Arabidopsis thaliana: one gene and its partners. The protein of the gene in region 3 interacts with the protein of the main gene of each other region in a biochemical or structural test. Each region holds a gene or a part of one and is shown on either strand. Other genes may lie near its edges. The genes, in order: AT3G03770, AT4G20790 and AT5G62710.

What was found.
Region 1: the proteins of AT5G62710 (region 3) and AT3G03770 form a complex in vitro, tested with the Arabidopsis thaliana proteins (one large-scale study listed by BioGRID).
Region 2: the proteins of AT5G62710 (region 3) and AT4G20790 form a complex in vitro, tested with the Arabidopsis thaliana proteins (one large-scale study listed by BioGRID).

What each region holds. Positions count from the first base shown.
Region 1 is NC_003074.8:944,544-951,231, reverse strand, and holds AT3G03770 (Leucine-rich repeat protein kinase family protein), read left to right. Parts: upstream 1-1,993; 5' UTR 1,994-2,353; exon of another isoform or gene 2,354-2,436; 5' UTR 2,437-2,528; intron 2,529-2,729; 5' UTR 2,730-2,795; coding exon 2,796-4,131; intron 4,132-4,225; coding exon 4,226-4,359; intron 4,360-4,452; coding exon 4,453-4,693; intron 4,694-4,789; coding exon 4,790-4,995; intron 4,996-5,068; coding exon 5,069-5,112; intron 5,113-5,280; coding exon 5,281-5,392; intron 5,393-5,471; coding exon 5,472-5,784; intron 5,785-5,906; coding exon 5,907-5,929; 3' UTR 5,930-6,155; downstream 6,156-6,688. Other genes in the region: LBD20 (LOB domain-containing protein 20), read right to left, coding at 6,559-6,688.
Region 2 is NC_003075.7:11,134,219-11,138,026, forward strand, and holds AT4G20790 (Leucine-rich repeat protein kinase family protein), read right to left. Parts: upstream 2,206-3,808; coding exon 948-2,205; intron 856-947; coding exon 557-855; downstream 1-556.
Region 3 is NC_003076.8:25,185,285-25,191,258, forward strand, and holds AT5G62710 (Leucine-rich repeat protein kinase family protein), read left to right. Parts: upstream 1-1,936; 5' UTR 1,937-2,153; coding exon 2,154-2,235; intron 2,236-2,311; coding exon 2,312-2,447; intron 2,448-2,535; coding exon 2,536-2,607; intron 2,608-2,690; coding exon 2,691-2,762; intron 2,763-2,847; coding exon 2,848-2,919; intron 2,920-3,004; coding exon 3,005-3,076; intron 3,077-3,159; coding exon 3,160-3,231; intron 3,232-3,359; coding exon 3,360-3,466; intron 3,467-3,557; coding exon 3,558-3,734; intron 3,735-3,828; coding exon 3,829-4,161; intron 4,162-4,246; coding exon 4,247-4,501; intron 4,502-4,584; coding exon 4,585-4,718; intron 4,719-4,810; coding exon 4,811-5,041; 3' UTR 5,042-5,438; downstream 5,439-5,974. Other genes in the region: TUB3 (tubulin beta chain 3), read left to right, coding at 454-1,142.

The DNA of each region.
Region 1 (6,688 bases), on a different chromosome or scaffold from region 3:
TTGATAAATTAGCAAATGATCACTTCACAATTACGACATACCTAACAAAAACCACAATAAATCTTAATGTTGAACAAACCATCTAACCTAATTTATTACACCGCAAGACGAAAATGACACACACACACACACTCCTCTAGGCTCTAACGTACGTCTTAATTAAGTATTTGCTTTCGCTTTCTACAAATCACTTTAATGTAGTGTATATATATTTATGTGATAAAAACAGAATAATGTAACATATGAATGCATGATAGTAATCAAGAAAAAAACATAAAATAGTCGTATAAATGTATTTCTATGAAATAATCTCAAATTACTTCACTTAGCCAATAAATTTTCATAATATATTAATTTTATAGTTGCCAGTCGATCAATTTTCACTACCAGTTAAAATAGTCGTATAAATGTATTTCTAGCCGTTATTAATTTTCTTTTCGTCTACCAAATTAAAGATCAATCTTTTTTTGTTAAGGAAAAAGAAATCGAAATTGGAAATTACCACGTTCTATTTCGTATTGTTTAAAGTTGGCTAGTCGATTATAAGCTGCACCAACAATTTTTAGTTTTATTTAAACTATGATTGTATACGACGACATTGACTATTGAGACATGCAACCAACAGATACAAAACAAAACTAACCAAAAAATGAAACACGCAAAATGAAGGAAAAAAATAAGATAAATTAAAATTAAATATTTATTCCTAAACGATGCACAGAAAAATCTAACAGAAGAAGATGCTTATATAAAACCAGGTGGACTAAAATTTCACAGAATTTTGTTTTCTTATGTTTGTAAGCATTTACTTTACTTGTTTTCTTATACCTGCAACTATGAATCATATTAAAAAAAACTACAAGATTAATAAAAAGATGAATCACTCATGGCACGTGAGAGTAGTCAAGAGATTAAGACATCATGCCTTAGTTTCAATTTAATATGATTAAATACACGAGTTTAGTTTAAATTGTTTGTTAATTTGATTTCCAATTCCTTGCATGTTATTCTTTATTGATCATATTATATGTGAGCTAATTTGTTGTATTAAGATTGTTTTCTTGAACTTTGAAAAGGTCGGAGAAGATTGGGACCTACATGTGTCACTTTAAAAGTCTGGTGTGACCTTTCTGATGGAGATGCCTTCGTGCGAAAGCTTACATTACAGTATGTGTCACAACTTCGCTTTCTTTTTATTTTCACCTTAAATATATATATTACCTCTTTCAGATTTAAGTTTTTGGATGGATCTTTTTTTTTTCTTTCAGTTTGGTTTTAAGCCTAGTTTTTGATAAAATTCCGGTGTAGTTGTTGTGGTTTTTATGTTTAGTTTGTTTTCAGCTTTCTTACATGATCAAAATTCAAAACAAAATTAGAGTTACACTAATTTACTTGGTTTTGTTTACTCATTCTTGATTAATCTTGTTTAACTTAGCATACCCAATTAATTGATAGACAGACTTTTCTCAATCAAATTAATATTCATATAAGAAACTTTAAAAAAATATCAAAATTAAATCTATACTATATAAAGACTTGTTTGCCTCAGACTCGTATTTGTAGATCATCCCCCTAAAGGCCTAAACCCTAAAAGAATATTTCTCTTATCATTACCTTTTTATCTTTCTTTTTTTTTTTGTCTTTTTACTTTTTCTTGGCCACAGCTTTGGCTGGAGTGGATTTCTCTTTGGTCCCTATTTTTTTGAAAGTGATAATATAATATGAACATATTTAATGCTGATAAAATAATTTACTTTGTGTACTGTATAAATAGTGAGACAACCAAAAATAAAAAGATCAGAAAAAAACGTCGGCCAGACCCTGTTGGATTCGCTTTTTTTTTTTTCTTTTTTAATTTGTTAAAAATGCATGTGAACACTTACAAGATTATTTTTTGGACAAAAAAATTCTATTTCTATTTTGTTTGTTTGTTTTAAAATTATTTTTGTAAAAAGAATTTATCGTTGTCTTCATCTCGTGATGGAGACTTAGAGAGGAGGACCAAACTCTCTGTCGTTAGCCACTGACAATTTACTAAATCGTATGGTTGCTAAAATGTTTTTGCATTGATTTTACAGAATTTGTTTTTGTTTATTGTCTATTTAAAAAATAAAAAAAGTTTGTTGGGTTAATATTGTTCCCAGAGTATCCTCTGTTTTATTCTTATAAGATATAATAATCACTCGTGAAGGAATCTTGAATGTTTTTAAAGCTCCTTGAGGAACTTTCATCTCTTACAGAGGATTTTCTTGGGAACTTTTCTCACTTTCTTCTTTAAATCAAGTTGCTACTTTTTTTGTTTCTTTAGATAAAATCGATATTCCATTCACAGTTACTTCATAAGTTTGCAGAGGTATTTCTTCATCTCAAAGGAAACGATTTGTCTTTTCATTTTCTCATTCTTCTTACTCTGATGAAACCAAATTTTGTTTCCAGGAAAAATAAAATTTAATCTCTTGTGCTCAAAAGTTTCCTGCATCTTTTCTTCTTGCAAGGTGTCTTAAAGAGGAGATTCTGTAACACATGTGGTGAGTTCTTCCTGTTTTTCTGGAATTCACATGCAAAAATCATATTTTTTTAGTTTGAAGATTGATTTCTAAGATTCTCTTCTGTTTAATGCATTAACGAGAAAGTGGTTAAAATATCAAGATCTTGAGAGTGGACCCTGTTTTGTAAGTACATTATATATAAATGTGATTCTTGAATGAAATGTGTCTCTCTCTTTGCAGGTTTTGATGATGATGCTTATATGATTTTATTTAGTAGTTGTGTGTGTTTTATGGTCTTGTGTGGCTATGGAGAAACTCTATTGTGGCATGCCGTTACTGCTTCTGGTTCTGCTTTTAGCTTCCATTGATGGCTCTACACAGCTACAATCATCTCAATCTCAAACCCTCTTGAGGCTGCAACAGCTTCTCTACTATCCCAAAGTGTTAAACAGCTGGAACAACTATACAGATTTCTGCAATTCTGAGCCAAGCCCTTCGCTAACCGTTGTGTGTTATGAAGATAGTGTAACGCAGCTTCACATTATAGGAGACAATGGAACTCATATGTTACCAAAGAGTTTCTCAATAAACTCGTTTGTTACTACTCTTGTTAAGCTCCCTGATGTTAAAGTTCTCACGTTTGTGTCCCTTGGGTTATGGGGTTGGTTACCTCAGAAAATCAACCGTTTATCCTCTTTGGAGATTCTCAATGTGAGTTCCAATTTCCTCTTTGGACCAATCCCTCATGAACTCTCGTCGCTTGCTACTCTTCAGACGCTTATACTCGACGAGAATATGTTTTCTGGTGAGTTACCGGATTGGATTGATTCTTTGCCGAGTTTAGCTGTGTTGAGCTTGAGAAAGAACGTGCTTAATGGGTCATTGCCTTCTTCTTTGAGTAGCTTGTCAGGTCTTAGAGTTCTTGCTTTAGCTAATAACCGGTTTAATGGAGCTTTGCCTGATTTAAGCCATTTGACAAACCTTCAAGTGCTTGATCTTGAAGGAAACTCTTTTGGACCGTTGTTTCCTCGGTTAAGTAACAAGCTGGTTACTCTTATACTCAGCAAGAACAAGTTTAGATCTGCAGTTTCAGCTGAAGAAGTAAGTTCTCTGTATCAGCTTCAACATTTGGATCTTTCCTACAATACATTCGTTGGTCCATTTCCTACTTCCTTGATGTCTCTTCCCGCGATAACTTACTTGAACATTTCACACAACAAACTCACCGGGCGGCTTTCAGCAAATCTTTCTTGCAACTCACAGCTGATGTTTGTAGATATGTCATCAAATCTTCTTACCGGAAGTTTGCCTACTTGCCTTAAACCGAGTTCCGGCACTAGCAGAGATGTTGTCTATGCAAGCAACTGTTTGGCTACTACGAATGAAGATCAACGTCCAGTTTCTTTTTGTAGTAATGAAGCTCTTGCTGTTGGAATCCTACCACAGAGGAGGAACAAAGTTTCCAAAGTGGGTATTGCTTTAGGTGTAACCGCAAGCATTCTCGGGGTACTTCTCCTCGCCGGTGCCTTATTTGTGGTTCTTAGGAGATTAAATGCTAAGAAAACAGTGACGAAATCTTCCCCAAGATTGATTAGAGAGAATGCTTCAATGGGGTACACATCGAAACTACTATCAGATGCAAGTAAGAGGATAAAATATCTCTCACATATTGTCACATAGATTACATAGAACTTGTCTTCATTGATAACTTGTGCTGTAACTGCAATACTTTGAAGGGTATATCTCTCAAACAATGAAGCTAGGAGGGCTCGGTCTTCCAGCTTACAGGACATTCTCACTGGAGGAGCTCGAGTATGCAACAAATAACTTTGAATCCTCTGCTTTCATGGGTGAAGGTTCTCAAGGACAGGTACAGCAGTGAAGCTTCAATCTTTCTTTAGCTAGTTTCCATTTTTTGAACAGTTGAATCAAACAAGATTTTTGTTTTCATTGTTCTTTTCAGATTTATAGAGGGAGATTGAAAGATGGATCCTTTGTGGCAATTAGGTGTCTGAAAATGAAGAAAAGTTGCAGCACACAAAACTTGATGCATCACATTGAGCTCATCGCTAAACTGCGGCACCGTCACTTGGTTAGTGTGCTCGGGCACTGCTTCGAGTGCTACTTGGATGATTCAACAGTCAGCAGAATGTTCTTTGTCTTTGAGTATGTCCCAAATGGAGAACTCAGGACCTGGATTTCTGGTACCACACTGAAACATCATGTGTTTTAAGAATGAAGATGATCATTATATATTTTTTAATAACTAAATCGGATTGTTCTTGTCTCTGCTGTGCTAGATGGGCACATGGGAAGATTGCTTACTTGGGAACAACGCATAAGCGTAGCGATAGGTGTAGCAAAAGGGATCCAGTTCTTGCATACCGGTATTGTGCCTGGTGTTTATGATAACAACCTTAAAATGACAGACATTTTGCTTGACAATAACCTTGCGGCGAAACTCAGTAGCTATAATCTTCCATTGCTTGTGGAAGGTCTTGGAAAGGTAAATGACGATGTCAAAAGTTCGAATGTTTTTGTTTCTTGAATTTTGAATCTCTTTTGCTTTCCTTTCTAAGGTGGGGCAAGTAGGATCTCGGAGCGGACCTAAAGGCACTCCAAGGTGTGTAATAATCTTCTTTACTCTGTTTCTCATCAGCTTGTAAACCCGGTTATATGGTTTAATCCTCTGTTTCTCAAAAGAATCAAAAACGGTTTATATGGTTTAATCCTCTGTTTCTCATCAGCTTGTAAACCGGTTTATATGGTTTAATCCTCTGTTTCTTAACAGCATCAAAGACGAAGATAAAATCGATATCTATGATTTTGGAGTGATATTGCTTGAACTTATAGTGGGAAGACCATTGAGAGCAAAGAGTCAAGTCGATGTTCTAAAAGAGCAGGTAACACCATTCGATATATATGTAGCTTGATGTGGAATCGCTATCATCTACTTTAAAAACTCTTTTTTATTTGTTGTAGTTACAAGCAAGCATTTCAGCGGATGATGGAGCACGTAGGAGCATGGTGGATCCAACGGTCCATAGAGCTTGTTCAGACCAATCACTGAAGACAATGATGGAGATATGTGTAAGGTGTCTCCTTAAAGACCCTTTAGAACGTCCTTCCATTGAAGATGTCCTGTGGAATCTTCAGTTTGCTTCTCAAGTTCAAGAAGGTTGGCTACAAAACAGCAATCCCTCGAGCAATCTCGGCTCGCCTTCTCCTGCTGCTTCCTCTCTTCCTCCTCCCTCTCGTTTACACGTAACAACACTCGAATCTCCCCGAGATTCAGGTATTTTTGAACTCGATCTTTTATGATCAATTGATTCAGTTCAGAATAGAATTTGATTGTTAAAGATTTGAGATTGAATAAGTTTATTGATCTGAGACTTATTTGTGTGGTTGTAATTGCAGGATGTGAAGAACATGAGAGGTAGAGAGACGAGGGTTTTTGTTTGGTCTTGTTCACTGATCACTACTCTTTGGAAAGAACATAACCTTTTTGTTTGTAATTTGATGTTTGTTTTTGTTTTTTTGTCTTTAGTTGTGTTGAGCTTAAACGATCATAACAGTTAATAATATAGTTAATTTTTCTTATAAACTTTACTTAAAAGAACAGTGTCGGTTAATTTTTATTCTTCAAAAGGAATACAAGTCCAACAATGGTGAGATAATTTTGGAAAATTCAATCGTTTTTTCTTCCTGTTTTGTTCAGCGAAAATAAATTAAAATTGTATATAGAAATTGAGATGGAACCGATTTCTAGGGTTTAGAAAAGATTTGCTTGATTGATTCTTCTTGTCCAAGAAATCAAAATAGAGGATAATGGCTGGTGTTGGATCATCAAATCCTTTACTTATTTATTAATTTGGATTCGTATGTAAATTCAGTTAATTCCAACTAGTATGATAATTAACCAATAACTACATGCATATATCTCATTCAAATATTTCACGACAACTCTACATGTATAGTATACGTCTGCTGGATATACTTATTCTCTTTCTCAACATTATTATAAAAACGGAGATATATTTAAATTAAAGACAAACCCTAGGTAATACATTCATCTCCGGTGAAAATCCTCCGCCGGAAATATAACCTTCGAAGCCACCGCCGTCGATCCAACAGCCACCGAAAAATCAGCACCGCTCTCTTCCTCATCCTCATGCTGATAATCTCCTCTCCTTTGCTGA
Region 2 (3,808 bases), on a different chromosome or scaffold from region 3:
CCCCCGGGAAAATGGAGATAGAGAAAAAAAAACGTCTAATTTTATGATCGTTATTTAATTGTGATACAAGTTTCGGTTTCAAATGGTAATGAAGATTATTAATGCTTTGATGATGGGTTAATTTCTGGTTTATTAGTATTTGGATTATTTTAAAAACTGAAATTGCTTTCAAGTTGATAAATGATACACTCATACATAACTGTCGATGGCTTTTCAACGGAGAAGAGACAAGTCACGTCGTAGTAGTTACCGAATTTTTAATCGAACGTTCCCATTTGCCAACCAGTGTATAGTTTCTATATCTTCCAACCCGGGTCGGGTCATTTGAGAACCCATAAAACTATGAAACCCATTTCAGCTAATAAAGCCCATTTGCAGAAATGAAGCCCATTTACAGATTTCATGTCTGCAAATTAAGTACTCATTTTCTGCAAATTCTCTCAGTACTTATAGTAATCAAAGAAAAAACACACAAATATGTCTTTAATCCTTACAATACTATCTAACACCAGATGTCTGAAAATCAAAAGAAACCAATAAAGCTTTACAAGGTATTTCAATGATGTCGTGAACTAGACTCATACAATGAACTCACCAAGTCATAAATCTGCGTCAAGCTTGGTTGCTTTAATGGTGGTATTATATCAGTACACATCAGTCCTAGCGTAATGGCTTGCTTAACTTGATCAAATGTTCTCCCCTCAATCTTCATCTTCTCATCAATCACTCTCTCTAGATTATCCGGATAATGAACTCTTATATACTCAAGATACCTTCTTTCTGAATCTTCTTGTCCCAAATCAGGTCTTAGATTTGTAATCATCTCCACAAAAAACAATCCAAAGTTGAATATATCTGTAATAACACAACAACAACAACAACAACAGACTTAGCTTTTATAGCCTTAAAAAGGTTTTGATTTTTGCAAGAAGAAGATGAAGCCTTACTTGTTGACAAGTTGTTTCTATCTCCAATCTTGAAATGAGAAATCAAAGGTTCTTGATTATCATCGGATAACAAAACACTGCTTGTGGTGAGATCAAATGTAATCTCTGGCCATTGATCTGATAGATAACAAATACCTTCTACAACTCCTAGAACTACTCTTAACCTTCTTCTCCATGATAAAGCCATTGACGAACTTAACCAAGTCTCAACATTTTCACCTTGAATCCATTCTGTAACCAAAGCTCTCATGTTTCTACTATTACACCAACCCAACACTCTTACCAAGTTCTTGTGTCGTAACTTAAAAACCATCTCGCATACCTCTGCGAATTCACGCCTTTTCTCACTCGAAACCTTCTCTTTATAAACCTCGATCTTCGTCTCTGTCCCGTCTCTTAACGTTCCTTTGTAGATATCCACTGTATTGCTCATGCTCACAAGATGTTGATCTGAAAACTCATCCGTTGCTGCTTCAAGCATCGCGAATGTGAACTTGTTTCTTCTCCGGCATGTTCTTGGTAAGTAATCAGGTCTCTTGACACATAACCAGCCAAAGCAAAAACAGAGCAAAATCACCATTATTGGAAAAACAATCAACAAGACCAAAACTTTCATCTTGTAACGCTTCACGTTGGGAAGAACACCGGACTGTATGAAACTAGAGGCGTTAAACCGTTTGAAGAACTCAGAATCCGAGATCTTATTCTCGGAGAATCGGTTATACGATAGGTTCAAATGGGTCAGATTGGGTAAGCCTGAGAGATCTTGAACCGGAACAAAACCAGAGAATTGGTTGTAACTCAGATCAAGAGTACGAATCTGAGCACAAGACAGAACATTTGTCGGAAAACCATTCGTTAGAGAGTTATTCACTAACTCGATATCAACGACGGTTAAAGGACAGTACTTCCAGAAGAAATCGAAAGAGAGGTAAAGAGCAGCGGTTTTAGGACGACCGTGAATTCTGATTCTAGGGAAAGATTCAACGCAGTTAGGGTTTTTGGACTCGTTACAGAGATGACTAGCGACGATTGTGGATCTGAAAATCTCGACAATGTCCATTGGAGAAGAGGAAGTGTTGTTGCAGTAACGGAGCATTGGATCACGAAGACAGTTGTTGGAAATAGTGGTGTTGAAATCAGGAGGTGGACTTAGATTAGCGAGGTCTTCGACGACGGTTGCGGAGAATACTGAGAGAGGAAGATAGGATGATAGTAGTGACGTGAGGAAGAAGATGAAGAACAGAGAAGACGCCATTGGAGAGATAGAGAGCAAATAGGTTTCGTTATTTGGTTTCGTGTATGGGTGAGATTAGAGAGAGAAGCAGAGAGGTAGTTTCTGTGTTATTGGAGGTGTTGTTGTTGTTGGCGGTTATTTTGAAACAGAGTGGGATGAGATTTACGCGCCCATTTTCCTTTTAGTGATCGTGTGCTTGGAAGTTGAAGATTATTAAAATAATAATAATTGTGAAGTTTTTTAAATTTTGTGAATATCTACACTTTTTACAATAGCTCCACTATGAAAACAAATTTCAATGTTTAATTATCATTTTCGTTGTCATTGAACACATAATAATGTGTTTATGTCAGTTGGTAAAAAATTATCTAGAATGGTTTTGCTTGTATTTGTAAGATTGTGCCTCGAATTCCTTTCATATATTTCTTGTCTCTTTGGTCTATTTATCTTGTTCTAAACTTTTTCTCTTTCTTGCGCAACAAACATCTACGTGGGTGAATTTGAGTCGATAATTATTTGGTAAATGTGCTCAATGTTAAATATAATTTTTGTTTGAGAATTGAATTGAATTATATAAACTACTATCAATAAAATCTTCAATAGTTTCACTTTATATCCAATGAACTTTATATTTCTGCAATTTTACCAAATTAATATGCCTAATTTAAAATTTAGATTTATAGAATCATATATATAATTTTTAATTTTCTACATTTCTATTTTTATTCATCTAATCTATATGCATTTAATTTCTTTAATTGGTATAGTTTCCTATGTTGTATTGTTTATTATTTTGTTATTAACATATTTTATAATTTTTTGTATTTTCTTAATTAAGAATAATAAAAATATATAAAAATAATAGTTATTGTCTTAATGAATCTTTAAAAAAATGGAAATTCAACAGGAGCTAAAAGGTAAACTTTTGATAAAGAAAATAAAATTTATTGCAAACTTACTCAGGCTTCTTAATTGTTAGAGAATTTTACACTAATGCAACGCATTAAAAGGTGAATTCAACAGAAGCTAAATGCTACTTCCATGAGCACTAACTCAAAAAGTGAGAGGAATAGTCATTTGAGATAAGTTGAGAACTAGGCAGTTTTTAGGGAAATAATTTGAGAACTAGACAGTTTTTTTAAAAATAGGCTGATAGGGTAGTTTCTTCTGTCCTCTCTAATACAGCCCTCCTCTAATACAGCAAATAGTCAAAGACCGTTTTACCCCTCTTGTGTTTTGATGAAAACTAATGGGCCAAATTCAAACCAGCCCAATATCATTCAAAATTCAAGATTTGTCATGGGCTAATATCACAAAACTCAAACCCATTTGTCCTCAAGACATTGAAACCAAACATAAACTTATCTCCTAAACCCTCGTTGAACATAAACTTCTCTCGTCGTCGACATCTTCTCTGAAGTCGTCATTGTCAAAAGAAGATAAACCCTCGTCACTTCGAAAATCATACACACATTGTCAAAATCTGTCGAGATGGAAGGTATGAGTTATCATAAGAAGCTTTACAGTTTATGAAATTGAGTGTACGGCCAACAAATAACGATGGAGACGATGACTCTGTTTTCGTTTTTTCAGGGGACGATGAATCCTGCGTCTCCATGGTCGG
Region 3 (5,974 bases):
TACAAATGTTAGATTAGTCGCTCTATGCTTAAAATGCTATGTCTAGATGGTGATTATGTTAATAATTGGTATCAAATTCAGATCTGCAAGTTTTCTCTATATATAACTTACTGTTTTGTCACTGTTTCTAGTGGTTTGTTCATGTCTATATCCTCTTGTCTTGTGTGCTATTGGTTTATCAATGTTGAGCTCATCACTATAAATCCTTAAGCTGCTCTTTAATCTTATTGGAACAAAACTTTCCGGTGAAGCTGCAAGTACTTTCTAGTTTAATCTTATATGTTGCTTGCTGTTACATATGGGATATGAATTCATTGATGACTATCGATTTGTGAAAGTATACTGTCTTCTTTATAATATACTTGTTTCTGCAAGATATGTTGCTATGCTCATCATGTTGTTTGTTGTATGTGTCTATATGGCTTACATACTTGGTTCATTCTCTGTGTGCAGTTGGTGATTTGAACCATTTGATATCTGCCACTATGTCTGGTGTGACTTGCTGTCTGAGGTTCCCTGGTCAACTCAACTCTGACCTCCGTAAGCTTGCTGTGAATCTCATCCCATTCCCTCGTCTTCACTTCTTCATGGTTGGTTTTGCTCCTCTCACCTCAAGAGGTTCACAGCAGTACCGCTCCCTCACAGTCCCTGAGCTCACCCAGCAAATGTGGGACTCCAAGAACATGATGTGTGCTGCAGACCCAAGGCACGGACGCTACCTCACAGCCTCTGCCATGTTCCGTGGCAAGATGAGCACAAAGGAAGTTGACGAGCAGATGCTGAATGTTCAGAACAAGAACTCGTCCTACTTTGTGGAGTGGATCCCCAACAACGTGAAATCAACAGTCTGTGATATCCCACCTACTGGTCTGAAGATGGCTTCCACTTTCATTGGAAACTCAACATCGATCCAAGAGATGTTCAGGCGAGTGAGTGAGCAGTTCACAGCTATGTTCAGGAGGAAGGCTTTCTTGCATTGGTACACAGGTGAGGGAATGGACGAGATGGAGTTCACAGAAGCAGAGAGCAACATGAACGATCTTGTGTCAGAGTACCAGCAATACCAAGATGCAACGGCTGATGAAGAAGGTGACTACGAGGATGAGGAAGAAGGTGAATACCAACAGGAAGAAGAGTACTGAGAGTAATTTAGTTATAAAAACCGCTTGAAAAAATCAATTTAGTCGTTTGCTACTTTTTTTCTTAAAAAAAAAAATGAGAACCTCAACTACCAGTTGCAGGTTTATTTCTATGCTTGTATTTGACTTATCTGGATGATGTTTATGTACTTTGTTTTTAAATTTGGTTCGGTCTTTAGTTTGAATCTTCGTTTAAGCTATTATTGACTGTATTGTTCCTAATCTCGTTAAAGACTTTGGGCTTATGATTGACTAACCTTTGGGCTTATGATTGACTAACCTTTGGGCTTTGGATTTCTTCATTTATTTTTAAGAGCTCGGCCCATTTTCGTGGTGACTAAATTACACTCTTCGAGATAAAACAGATAAGAAATTTACTTTTGATGTAATAAATATTGTTGCTACGAAGTATTTTACTTTTGGAAATAAATAGGGACGACATTAGTGTTAATACTCTTGTAAATTTTGTCAGATTACACATTATTTTACAGATCTCTCAGACAAAGTAAATACAAAAACGACACAGTTTCGTAACTTTCACTCGCGTCTCAAGTACAATCTCTAAATTACTCGCTTTCTGTGAAAGACACGTGTATTTTGTGACTTAAATAACAGCGAGTAGATTTTAGAACCATAGTCGCGAGTGTTTTTATAGGCACAGATATATTTGAATTATGTCTCCTCGCAACGGGTCGCTCTCTCTCTCTCCTCTGCACCAGTCTCCAAGGGTACAGATTTTGAAAAACCACTCCTTTCACTTAGCTCGAAAAGAAGAGGGAAAAACAAAATAATAAAACCAAAAAAATGATAAATTAAAGAATTCTTTTTAGGAAAAACAAAAGTAAAGATTTTTCATCATGAGTCTTCCTCCTCTTACTCATACGGTCATACCCAATCACTACTAACCTCTCTCCATTCTCGAATTAGGTCACTCTATTTGGGTTGAAAAAATCTCATATTTTCGTCTTTGGAACCTTAAGAACTTTCTCTTTTGGAATCGGTGGAATCAGTGAAATGGGTATCTCGAATTGGGTTTTCTCTGTAATTTCTGTAGCTACCCTTTTTGTCTCCTGCTCCTTTGCTCTCACTCTTGATGGTTAGTCAAAACCCACTTTACTCATAAATCTTTGCTTTTTTGGTTGGTGAGAAATCTGAGATTTTGATGTTTGTAGGATTTGCTCTATTGGAATTGAAGAGTGGATTTAATGATACGAGGAACTCACTAGAGAACTGGAAAGATTCAGATGAGTCTCCTTGTTCTTGGACTGGTGTCTCCTGTAATCCTCAAGACCAAAGAGTTGTTTCTATGTAAAAATATGCTCTTCTTCGTTGATAAAGTCTCAATCTTTCGATTATTTCTTTACCTGATTATGTTCTTCTTATGTGGATTATGCAGAAACTTACCATATATGCAATTAGGAGGGATAATATCTCCTAGCATTGGGAAGCTTAGTCGATTGCAGAGACTGTGAGTAGTAGATTTGGCTCTTATGCTAAATTTTGGTCTCTTTAAGTAGTTTGTTTAATTCAAGTTTGGTGGGAGTTATGTAGGGCACTTCATCAGAATAGCTTACATGGGAACATTCCTAATGAAATCACCAACTGCACTGAGCTAAGAGCTATGTAAGCCAGAATTTTGCAATTGGGAATATCAAGCCTTTGGTTAGTGTTGAGCCATAAATATATATCTGGTTAAACATGCTTTCAGGTACTTGAGGGCGAATTTTCTCCAAGGCGGGATTCCACCGGATTTAGGCAACCTTACATTTCTTACTATATTGTAAGATTCAATTTTTTTTTTTTTTTTTTACTTCTTTTCCAATATGATCATTTTCAAGAATTTCTGATGTTTGGGATATCTTCAGGGATCTATCAAGCAATACACTCAAGGGTGCTATTCCTTCTTCAATTAGTCGATTGACGCGGTTACGCTCCTTGTAAGTTACAAACAGAATCTCGTGTTTAGATGTAGTTGTGCAAGATGTGTCAGTTTAATGTATTTACTCTTTGTTTGATTCAGGAACTTGTCAACCAACTTTTTCTCTGGTGAAATACCGGATATTGGAGTTCTCAGCAGATTCGGGGTCGAAACGTGAGATTTCTCTTCTATATAATTATAACTAGTTGTTTGAACATCATCAAGAACTTAAGAAAAACTTTCTTGCTTATGTTAGACTAGGATGTTATTTTCTGATAGTTGTTTTCTGTCTTTATGGTTAGTTTCACTGGTAATTTGGATCTCTGTGGCCGGCAAATTCGCAAGCCATGTAGATCATCAATGGGTTTCCCTGTTGTTCTTCCTCATGCAGAAAGTGCTGATGAATCAGGCAAGATCTTATTATTAAAGCCAATCATCACGTCTTGAGGCTCCTTGACTAAACTTTCTGATTCTTGATTTCTCTTTTGCAATCCACACAGATTCTCCAAAGCGATCATCACGCTTGATTAAAGGAATCTTGATCGGCGCAATGTCTACAATGGCTCTTGCATTCATCGTGATCTTTGTTTTCCTATGGATTTGGATGCTCTCAAAGAAGGAAAGAAAAGTAAAGAAGTACACAGAAGTCAAGAAACAAAAGGATCCATCCGAAACAAGTATAACATTTGCATAAAAGAGAAAAACTAGTTTTCTTTTCTTCCTGCTTATCATTTTTCTAAATTCCGTTTCTTCATTTGTCTTTAAAAAAAGGTAAAAAGCTGATTACTTTCCATGGTGATCTTCCATACTCTTCAACTGAGCTGATTGAGAAGCTAGAGTCTCTTGACGAGGAAGACATTGTGGGTTCGGGAGGATTTGGCACGGTTTATCGAATGGTTATGAACGATCTTGGAACCTTTGCGGTTAAAAAGATAGATAGGAGTCGACAAGGATCAGACCGAGTTTTTGAGCGAGAAGTAGAGATTTTAGGTAGTGTCAAACACATCAATCTAGTGAACCTACGTGGATACTGCCGTTTACCATCTTCAAGACTTCTCATCTATGATTATCTAACCTTAGGAAGCTTAGACGATCTTCTTCACGGTAAATACAGTTATACATAGTTTATCTTCATTTTGGTCTGTGATGCGTCATATTAATCTATTTTTTGGTTTCTTTATCTATCAAGAACGAGCTCAAGAAGACGGTTTGTTGAACTGGAATGCTCGGTTGAAAATTGCGCTAGGTTCCGCGAGGGGTCTTGCTTATCTACACCATGATTGTAGTCCCAAAATTGTTCACCGTGACATAAAATCGAGCAATATTCTACTCAATGATAAACTAGAACCTCGAGTCTCGGACTTTGGTCTTGCAAAGCTTCTTGTTGACGAAGATGCTCATGTTACCACCGTGGTAGCTGGCACCTTTGGCTATCTTGCTCCAGGTTCTCTTCTTTGCTAACTTCTTTTTTGAATCTTGGACAATAATTTTTAAAGTTTCTAACTCTTTGATGAATCTTGGAAACAGAGTATCTGCAAAATGGGAGAGCGACGGAGAAGTCTGATGTGTACAGCTTTGGAGTTCTTCTCCTTGAGCTCGTTACCGGAAAAAGACCAACAGACCCGATATTCGTTAAAAGAGGCTTGAACGTCGTCGGATGGGTAAGAAGACACCTCAAATCTTGTCTCCGAGAAGAAACGTTCTGTTTTTACTTCCTAAGATTTGGGTTCTAATAAAGTGTTATTTCTCTCAGATGAACACTGTGTTGAAAGAGAATCGATTAGAGGATGTAATAGACAAGAGATGCACCGATGTCGACGAAGAGTCTGTTGAGGCATTGCTCGAGATAGCTGAGAGATGTACAGATGCTAACCCGGAGAACAGGCCGGCTATGAACCAGGTGGCTCAGTTGCTTGAGCAAGAAGTCATGTCACCTTCTTCTGGTATCGATTACTACGATGATTCTCATTCTGATTACTGTTAGGGACTTATGCACGGCTAAAAGTAACCAGGAGATCATTAGCCTGCGACGGTTTTGTTGTTGTTGCTGCTGCGTTATGAATGTTGTGATTTAGGAGCGAGGGATTTGTTTGTATATTAGATATGAAGGTGGAGTCAAGATTATTGAGCGTGCACTGTTCTTGTGCACTTTATATTTTTGCAACAAAATGATCGATGTTATTGCGTATGCATTGTACTATGACTCTTTCAAAGGGAAGACACACATACGAATTATCGATGTTAATGTCGTTAGGCTTCTTTCTTACGTTTTGTAGCGTACATTGCTTAGCTCTACTAAAGCTGGTCCTATGTTTTACAAACCTGAAAGTAGAAGACTCTCAATGCACAAACGTTGCTACAAAACTTTCATCTTTCTGAATAATTAGCTATTTTTATTTATGAAAGTGTTATTTCTCTATAAATCTTATAATTTGGAAACTGATATTAAAAAAAAAACATCTTCTTTTTATAGTTACAAACAAGTTTTTTTTTTTTTTTTTTTCTGTCAAAGACTTGAGAGTTGATAAAAAAAAGAGTTGATAATTTCTTGATTTTTCTTCTGGAACATTTTAATATTATCTTCTGAATAATCAAATGACCTTTCGTTTAATGGAAGAGACTTCGACCATCATCAAAACCCCATCCACCTCTTAAAAGGCCAACGCTTTTCTGCCCTATGTGCTTTGCTAGTTTCCTACACGTACGTATATATCTATAAAATCATTTTTCATATATATATGGTTTAATGCATCCATAGTTTATACATATTTTATATTTAAACCCTACCCTATACGATACACTATATACATATATCGTATAGTAGTAATTGATTATATAAAATTTTACATAGATGTACAAGAGCATTGATATCGATAGAAGTTAGAACCTTTTGAAGATATTCGTAACTCTTGAAAAA